Linked DNA regions of Coturnix japonica. The main gene of each other region encodes a partner of the protein of the gene in region 2 in a complex. Links are inferred from orthologs where the notes say so. Each region holds a gene or a part of one and is shown on either strand. Other genes may lie near its edges.

What was found. Proteins that work in one complex are often made in the same cells at the same time.
Region 1: the proteins of PLXNC1 (region 2) and SEMA7A are in contact, whole or in part, in a crystal structure (PDB 3NVQ), measured with the Homo sapiens proteins. The link is inferred for Coturnix japonica from reciprocal best matches to the Homo sapiens genes PLXNC1 and SEMA7A. Residues at the interface, in NP_005752.1 of Homo sapiens: Arg131, Thr151, Glu152, Val153, Asn195, Pro196, Ala197, Ala198, Ser199, Asp200, His201, Thr203, Ala206, Lys208, Arg213, Ser214, Leu215, Ala216, Thr217, Gln218, Glu219, Leu220, Arg222, Lys224, Glu272, Ala350, Ser352, His353; in NP_003603.1 of Homo sapiens: Gln194, Tyr196, Asn197, Gly198, Lys199, Arg202, Arg204, Tyr213, Ser215, Asp216, Thr217, Gln270, Gly271, Gly272, Glu273, Ser274, Ser275, Leu276, Val278, Ser279, Lys280, Pro372, Thr375, Glu376, Phe378, Gln379, Asp382, Arg383.

What each region holds. Positions count from the first base shown.
Region 1 is NC_029525.1:1,860,759-1,864,374, reverse strand, and holds part of SEMA7A (semaphorin-7A), read right to left. Parts: intron 2,792-3,616; coding exon 2,652-2,791; intron 2,313-2,651; coding exon 2,134-2,312; intron 1,930-2,133; coding exon 1,821-1,929; intron 1,154-1,820; coding exon 955-1,153; intron 1-954. UniProt on the Homo sapiens protein: Plays an important role in integrin-mediated signaling and functions both in regulating cell migration and immune responses.
Region 2 is NC_029516.1:41,063,009-41,066,624, reverse strand, and holds part of PLXNC1 (plexin-C1), read right to left. Parts: intron 221-3,616; coding exon 106-220; intron 1-105.

The DNA.
Region 1 (3,616 bases), on a different chromosome or scaffold from region 2:
CCAGGAGTGAGGAAACCAGGCAGAGAACCAGCTCTGTGAGCTCAGCCCTTGTTGCAGCACACAGTACTCATCACTCTGCAGAGCCAGATATGACTGTGTCCCTGAAACCAGCCACCCAGGGGAGGCTGGAACCTTTTTCAGTATTATTTACTTAGGAATTCACCCTTTATACAATAGTGCCTCCCAGAGCAGAGCTTTGTCACCCTCTCAGCCAAGAGCCATGAGGAATTGATTTCCCCTGGAGGCCTGACTGAGCCCCTTTTGTTCAGCTGCAAGGAAAACCAACAGCTCTCAAACTGGACTCTGTTCCGCTGTGCCTTATCGCCAATGCCTGAGGTTGAAATGTGGACTTCCACCTTTCTGGCTTTGTTAAGCAAAGCGACTCCCTCCTCCATTAAATGACTTCAGGAATTGGTAATTGAAGAAAAGGAGCAATTTGGCAGATGTGTGGCAATTCTCATCCTGGTGGAATGTGCATCAGTAATCTCATCACTTACTCTCATTTAATTGTCTCTGTTTCCCCCTCCCAAAGCAGCCTCTCCCTTCCCCAGCACAAGCAGGGGAGGTGAGATAGGACCCCCCAAGAGGGGTCAGGCGGGGAACACCCCTCATTTCACCTCAGGTGTATCCACACCTACCACAGCACAGGTGGGAAGCTGCCTTGCCAAGCCCTGCAGCATGGAGCAAGCTCTCTTGCAGAATCTGGAAGGCATTAGCTGTGTTTAGCTAAGGCTTTTAGCAGGAGCAGAACAATAAGAGCATGCATGGGCACCAACCCAGGCCACCATGGGCACCAACCCAGGCCACCAAGACTAGTCTGCATTTTTTTCATGCCTGTAAACAAACTCCAGCACAATGCAGATGCAAAGTAAAAGAAGATGATGAGCACGGCTCTAGGGTGTGAGCCTGGGTAGCAAGGCGGGAAAGACAGCACAAGGTTAGGGTTGCTGGTACCTGTTGCCAGATAAAGCACGGTGTATTGGCGTCCATCGCTTGCAGAGACTTCGTGCACCCCAATCTTCTGGTAGCGGTGCTTGTTGTGGAATAAGGGGCTCCTGGTGGGAGCGAGGGGCTCTACCCGGTCCTCAACCTCTGGGTGGCTGTCAGCTATCTTGAAGGTCTCACTTGGGGTGTGCTGTCCAAAGGGAACACACTGCACCGAGAGGGAATAAAAGGCACTGTGTCAGAGGAAGGCAGATCCCTGAGGGCAGGAAAGAAATGACATGGCACAGCTGAAGCCCAGAGGAGGATGCCCAGAGCTTCCTGCCACAGCAAAGGCCGCTCTGCAGGTACACAGGATCATAGAGCAGGTTGAAAACACACAGCAAACACTTTATCTACATACTTGGCAGCCCAATAGCCTTTCTCCTACTGCAAAAGTCTCAGACCCTGCCTTCCCCAGCAGCCTAGGACAGCCTCTCCCCATGCAACTCTTTGCTGCCAGGTCAGTTGAGCACCATGAATTGTAGGGTTGAGGCCACAGACTGGTGCAGACAAACATTTTGTGTTAGCAAACACAATAGAAAGCTTTGTCCTCCAACTTCAAACGAGAGCTCGGACCTGTTTGCCAAGTACATAAGATCCTCACTCCCCTTTATTTCCATAAAGGCGTTGGACGTTGACCAGCCTCCTCATGTTTCCAGTAACAAAGCTCAGATCCTTCCCACACTGCCCACACGCTGCCTGAGAACAGCACTCAGCTCTCAGTTCTCAGCTGGCTGGTTGGGACCCTCACCTGCCCCAGCTCCCTCTGACAGCAGCACAGCAGGGACCTTAGGAGGTCTCTGCTTAATGTGGGTGTCTTTCCATCATTGACTCACCTGCCCAGGTTTGATCTCTGGGTTGGGACCGTTGTAGCCTTTGAGTTTGGATGTTCGAAACACGTTGTCAATGTCCCCAAAAGAATAGACACAAACAGCAGAGCTTCCCCTGTGGGAAAGAAGACAAAGAAAGGGTCAGGGATACAGTGGCCTTTGCCTGGGGCATGGCTGGGGCACAGCTGCGTGTCGCACCTTTGCTGCCCATGTCCATTCTGGCTGTTTTCCACCCATGTTCCTGCCAGAGAGAACAAAGGGCTGAAGGAAAGGACAAGGCCCATGGGACAGGCACTCCCCATTTTGCAAAGACCCTTACCAGGTGTTTGTGAAGAGTCCGTAGACTTTGGAGTCCCTCCAGTTACTTGCAGGGACAAAGAAGACATCTTGCAGCCAGTTGAAGTTGCCCTTGGTGGCTGGGTCAACACAAATCAAGCTGGCCTTCAGGAAGGTGGTCCATTTGGATGCAGAGAGTGAACTGGTTCCACCTTTGTCTTCCTGGAGTAGAAAGAAAGCAGAGAGTCAGGGCTTGGTAGAGAACAACACAAAGTCCCCTCTGTATGGCATCTTAGGAGGATAACTGTGGGGGATGCTCCGGAGATATATTTGCTGCTGGTCTCTGCAATGCTTGTTTATCTCTAACATCCCAGCAAGAGAGGACAGTGTTGTCCCCCTCTACAAGCAAGATGGGAGCCCAAGGATGGGAAGGGCAAAGGACATGGCTAGAGGGAGCCAGAGGGGCCAACTTGTGTGCTGACAAAACCAGATGAGCTGGTATGGCCATTTCTCACCCCTGTGACACTGTTGCCTCCCAACCATACACTGTTCCTACAATACCTTACACAGCTGGGCCACTCGGGAGATGTTTCTGGGTGCCTCAGGACTCTTATCTGGATTGTCTTCACGGAAGAAGTAGTAAATCTTGTCCTGGTAAGGCTCTTCATGCCTTAATGTGGTGGCTTTGACAAACTGAGGGTCTGGAAAGGGAAACAAGCAGTCAGAAAACTTTGGTTTGGACATGAACCCTTCAGAAACACAAGCTCACTGGTGGGTCTGAGCAAAGGACAGGTCCAAGCCCTTTCTCCATACCTGACCAGTCACAGCACACTAAAGACTGTTCTTCACACACCACATTCCCACGGGTTCCCTTTCCTCTCCCTCCCCCATGCACTTGTTTCCTTGCAAAGCAAATCCCCGGAGCCTAGTGAAGCCTTGGCTTTGTACAGAAATGCTCCCTCAGTGGAGCAAGATGCCTCATTATTTGTGTTCAGTGTGGAAAACCCAGTCATGTTTTTTCCTATTAATACACTGCTGCCACAAAGGGCATCCCCAGCAGCAGTACGATCCCTCTGGGTATCTGGTGGCCCCATGGCAGTGAGTTCTGTGTCATCAGTGCTCCAGGTCTGTGAGGTTTTTTCCTCCTGTCCTGCATACACATCTCCTGTTTGGCCTTGATGTCATTTGGACTTTTGTCTTTGGCCAGGGGTTCAATGATCTTCAGTTTCCCAGAGAGGCTTAGGGGAAGGCAGTAAGGTTACAGAAACTGAGAAGGGTTCTTTCGTCCACTAGCAGCCCAACAGCTTCTTGCTGCAAGGTTATGACCCGGCTGGGGATTTAGAAAGAGTCACTGCCCAGAATGGAACTTGTTCTTCCTGTTTCCACCACCACTCGGCAGCTGATGGGCACCTTTACACAACAAGCATCTGACATGGGACTTGCTGTCCATTTCTCTCCATTTCCCCTTCCCCTCCTTCCTCACCCTAAGCAAGAGGAAACTCATGCCAGTTGTCTCGGTGCTGAAG
Region 2 (3,616 bases):
TGGTATATCTGCTCATAATGCAGTGCCTAAACCATGCGAAACACATATATATTTGAACACAGTAATAGTCGATGCTGAAGGGAGGAAGTCCCACGCTCTACTTACCTTCAGTAACTGTCCATCATCCGTTCCCAGAAAGAGAACGATCTGATTTAAAACAACTGTGCCATAAACAGCCACTAATCCAGAGTGAATCAAGGTGGGTGATTGATTGTACCTTCTGCAAATCAGATATGAGAGAAAATCATTACAAAGTTATTCACCTGTACTACAAAATGTTTATAAAAATAAGGATCCCTGGACAGATTCTCAGAGAACTCATCTATTGAAAATAGCATGGGTAACATTTTAATTCTGGCAGTGCTTCAGAGCAACACGTCACTGGAAATGGCACATGGAACTCCTTTTTTACGTACAGGGCAATTGGCCACATCCACGATAGAGAATACATCTACTGCAGATAAACCACTGGTCTCACTGGGACACAGACTTGGTCTAAAAGCTGCAAGCTAATTTTCAATATAATTTCTCTTCTTTGGGACATAATGCTCAGAAACTATTCTGAACTGCCAGTACTTCTCAATGCAACCATTCTTTTCCATCACCTGACAGCACCTATCATAAGGGCTACAGATACACTCAGCAACCACAAGAAAAGATATGCAAATGTTCTGGAGAAAGGATGTACTTCAAACACTCAGACTCTTTTCTCTCACCAGAAAATGCAGAGCTTCATCCTCCCTTGGTATGGTTTCCTGCTTTAAGCTAAAAGGAAGTTGAGACTTGCATACTACATAAACATAAAAATGATATAAAGCAGCATAAAGTTCATGTCAGGGAGGCCATAAACGTACTTGCACAAACTTCAAAACCAAATGTTACCTACAATTCTCTGTCCAAGCTGGATAAAGTTTAGAGACAAATGCATGTAAGAAGCTCACAAAAGAAAAACATTGTGTAGGAAATCCCTACATCTTGTGGAACAATAACAACAAAAAACCCATACCAGACAACCCAGATCTTCACTGCAGAAAGCCAAGCATTAAAAGGAAGTCCCTCCTGTGTGTAAAGAGCTCAAGCAGGACCAGGCCTTTGAGAATAAGCACCACAGGTCAGTTTAAAATGCCCAGAATCTCGGCCACAACAGCAGGTTCATAAACCTAGAGGAACACCCTGAGTGCAAGAACCTATTCTGCATTAACGCACTAGGTGAAGTGTAAGAATGGACTGTTAAAATCCATATTCTGCAGAAAGGTGAAGGCATTTCTTAAACTTATGAAGTCAACAAAAGACTTTGTTTTTCAACAACAACAGATCTATAACAGATCTATAACATGGTAACAGCTGAATCCATCTCCTGCATGCCTGAATGCTGGCTTAACCCAAAAGCCTTTCCACATAGAAACACATTTTTTTCTGAACTGCAATCCTAAGTCAATTAAAATCTTTTTCAGTCATCTGAATTATTTTAATTAGCTCATGAGAACAGCCATTTGGAGTAAAAGAAGACTTGATTAACTTTCATATTTAAAGACCTTTTTTTTTTTTTTTTTTTTTTTTTTCATGCAGCGGGAAGAAAACATAGGAACTGCCATGTACTGGCACAGGATTTCAGTAAAACCCACTTTGGCATAAGATTCCACTATCACAGAGATCTCTTTTATATATAGGGAAGGAAAACTGATTGCACGCATCAGAGGGTAACAAACTCCAGCACTGGTGCACACAATGAGCCCTTGCTCAGACCAAGGAGTGAGGAGATGAAGTGTTCCAGTCTTTGATTACCAAGAGAATTAGGATTTTTTTCTCTCAGTGCTCTGTATAGCAGCGTTAGGAAGACAAACCACCCCAGGTTTCCTGCAGACTCTGTACAATAGGATCACAGAAGAGGGGAGGACTCACCCAGTCTCTGAAAAGCTTTGCTGCCAGATTTTATTTTGACCCACATACAAGTAAAATAACTAGTGTCATATCAGTGCATCCTCCTCATCTGACTGAGGAACCAGTACTGACAAGTGTGGAAGCCTCCTCCCCTCACTCCGCTTGCTAGAGGGAGGGTCAATGCGACATTGAGCTAATATAGATAAGGAGGAATTTAGACGGTGGGCAATCACAACAAGAATTGTCTTCTCTCTTTTGCAACCTATTTCTCCAGCTTGTCCATTCCCTCCAGGGTGCAGCTGCTGCTTTCACCCTTCTGTCATCCCTTTTCCACGTGCACTTATTTTTTTAACAAGCCCTTTTACTTCTTCCAGTGTAACTAATGGGGTTACAGCACTGTAGGGCCTTCCCAAGCTTTCCTCTTTCACAGCTAAACCCAGCCCTAAAACACATTTATGGTCAAAACTTCTTTTATACTTGAAGAGCCATTCATCTTCACAATCATCTATCCTGTAACACTTCCAGGTTCATACAGAAACAAGAAATGCAAATAAAAAGACAACAAATACTGCTATAGAACGTTGTGGGTTTCTTTTGAATTCTTCAGTTGCACTCTTCTATTTTAATCTATTGTTCCCCAGAATCTTCACATTCATAGGTAAGCCTACAGATTTCCTGAATAAATTTGCATTTTGCCTTTAAAATCAAGCTTTCTATGCTGTTTGGTTATTGGCATTAAAGTTATTTTTATTCCTTTCATATTTTGCATCTCATTTTCAGTTTTCTCTCCGTATGATTCCAGCTGCAGCAACCATATTCACACTCGTCTTTCTGTCTCAGTTTCCTCTTGATTCTCTCACCTCAGAGGGAAGGGCAGCCCTCTAGCTCAACCAGCACTCAACATATTGCAATTGGCCAAAAAGAACAAAGTAAGGGTTTGAGAATTCAGTGTGAACAAATGGAAGCAACTATACAAAAGGACACAAAACTTGTGAACTCTGTACAGCAACAGTCAACACTGCAACAACACATAAACACCTTAGCCAGTGGGCGAAATCTCCTGGGATCTCATTCTGGGACCGCCCTTCAACCTCTTCCATCAGTTTTTATGACATCAGTGGGTAACAAACTTACATACTGGTGCATGTTGTGAGCCTTAGTTATGGCTAAAGAATGAGGAGTTGATCCATTCCAAAATCTGATTTCCATCAGTTTGCTTTTTTTTTTTTTTTTAAATATGTTTACTGCATAGCAATGCTAGGAGAACAAGCCATCCCAGATGAGCAGACTGCAGAACATCGGGGGGACAATAGGAAATGAGGGTCTAACCAGAGACCCTGTAGACACAAGATCCTGACCTTCACAATGCAAGGCAAGAGGGACACTCGGAGGCTAGACCTGAGGAAAAGGCTGATTGAGGCTCCTGAGATGTGGGATGCTAGAAGCTTCTTGCAGCAGAAGAAATGCTCCTCCTCTGCCCTCATATCTGAATTTACAGGATCAGTAAAGCACCCTAACAACCAATGAGAAGGGAAATCGAGCACTATTAAGGAAGGCTTGAAAAGCAACTGGGCTTGAAATGAATATAACAGAAAGAGCAAGAGGAAGTGGTGGGTGACAGTGGCTGGAGATTCCCTTCTGTGAGAGATGAAGGCACACATCTGTTAAACAGTCATGCTGCTAAAACAGGTTTCTTTTCTTAGGTTTCTTGCAGAGAGATTGCCAATGATGTTCC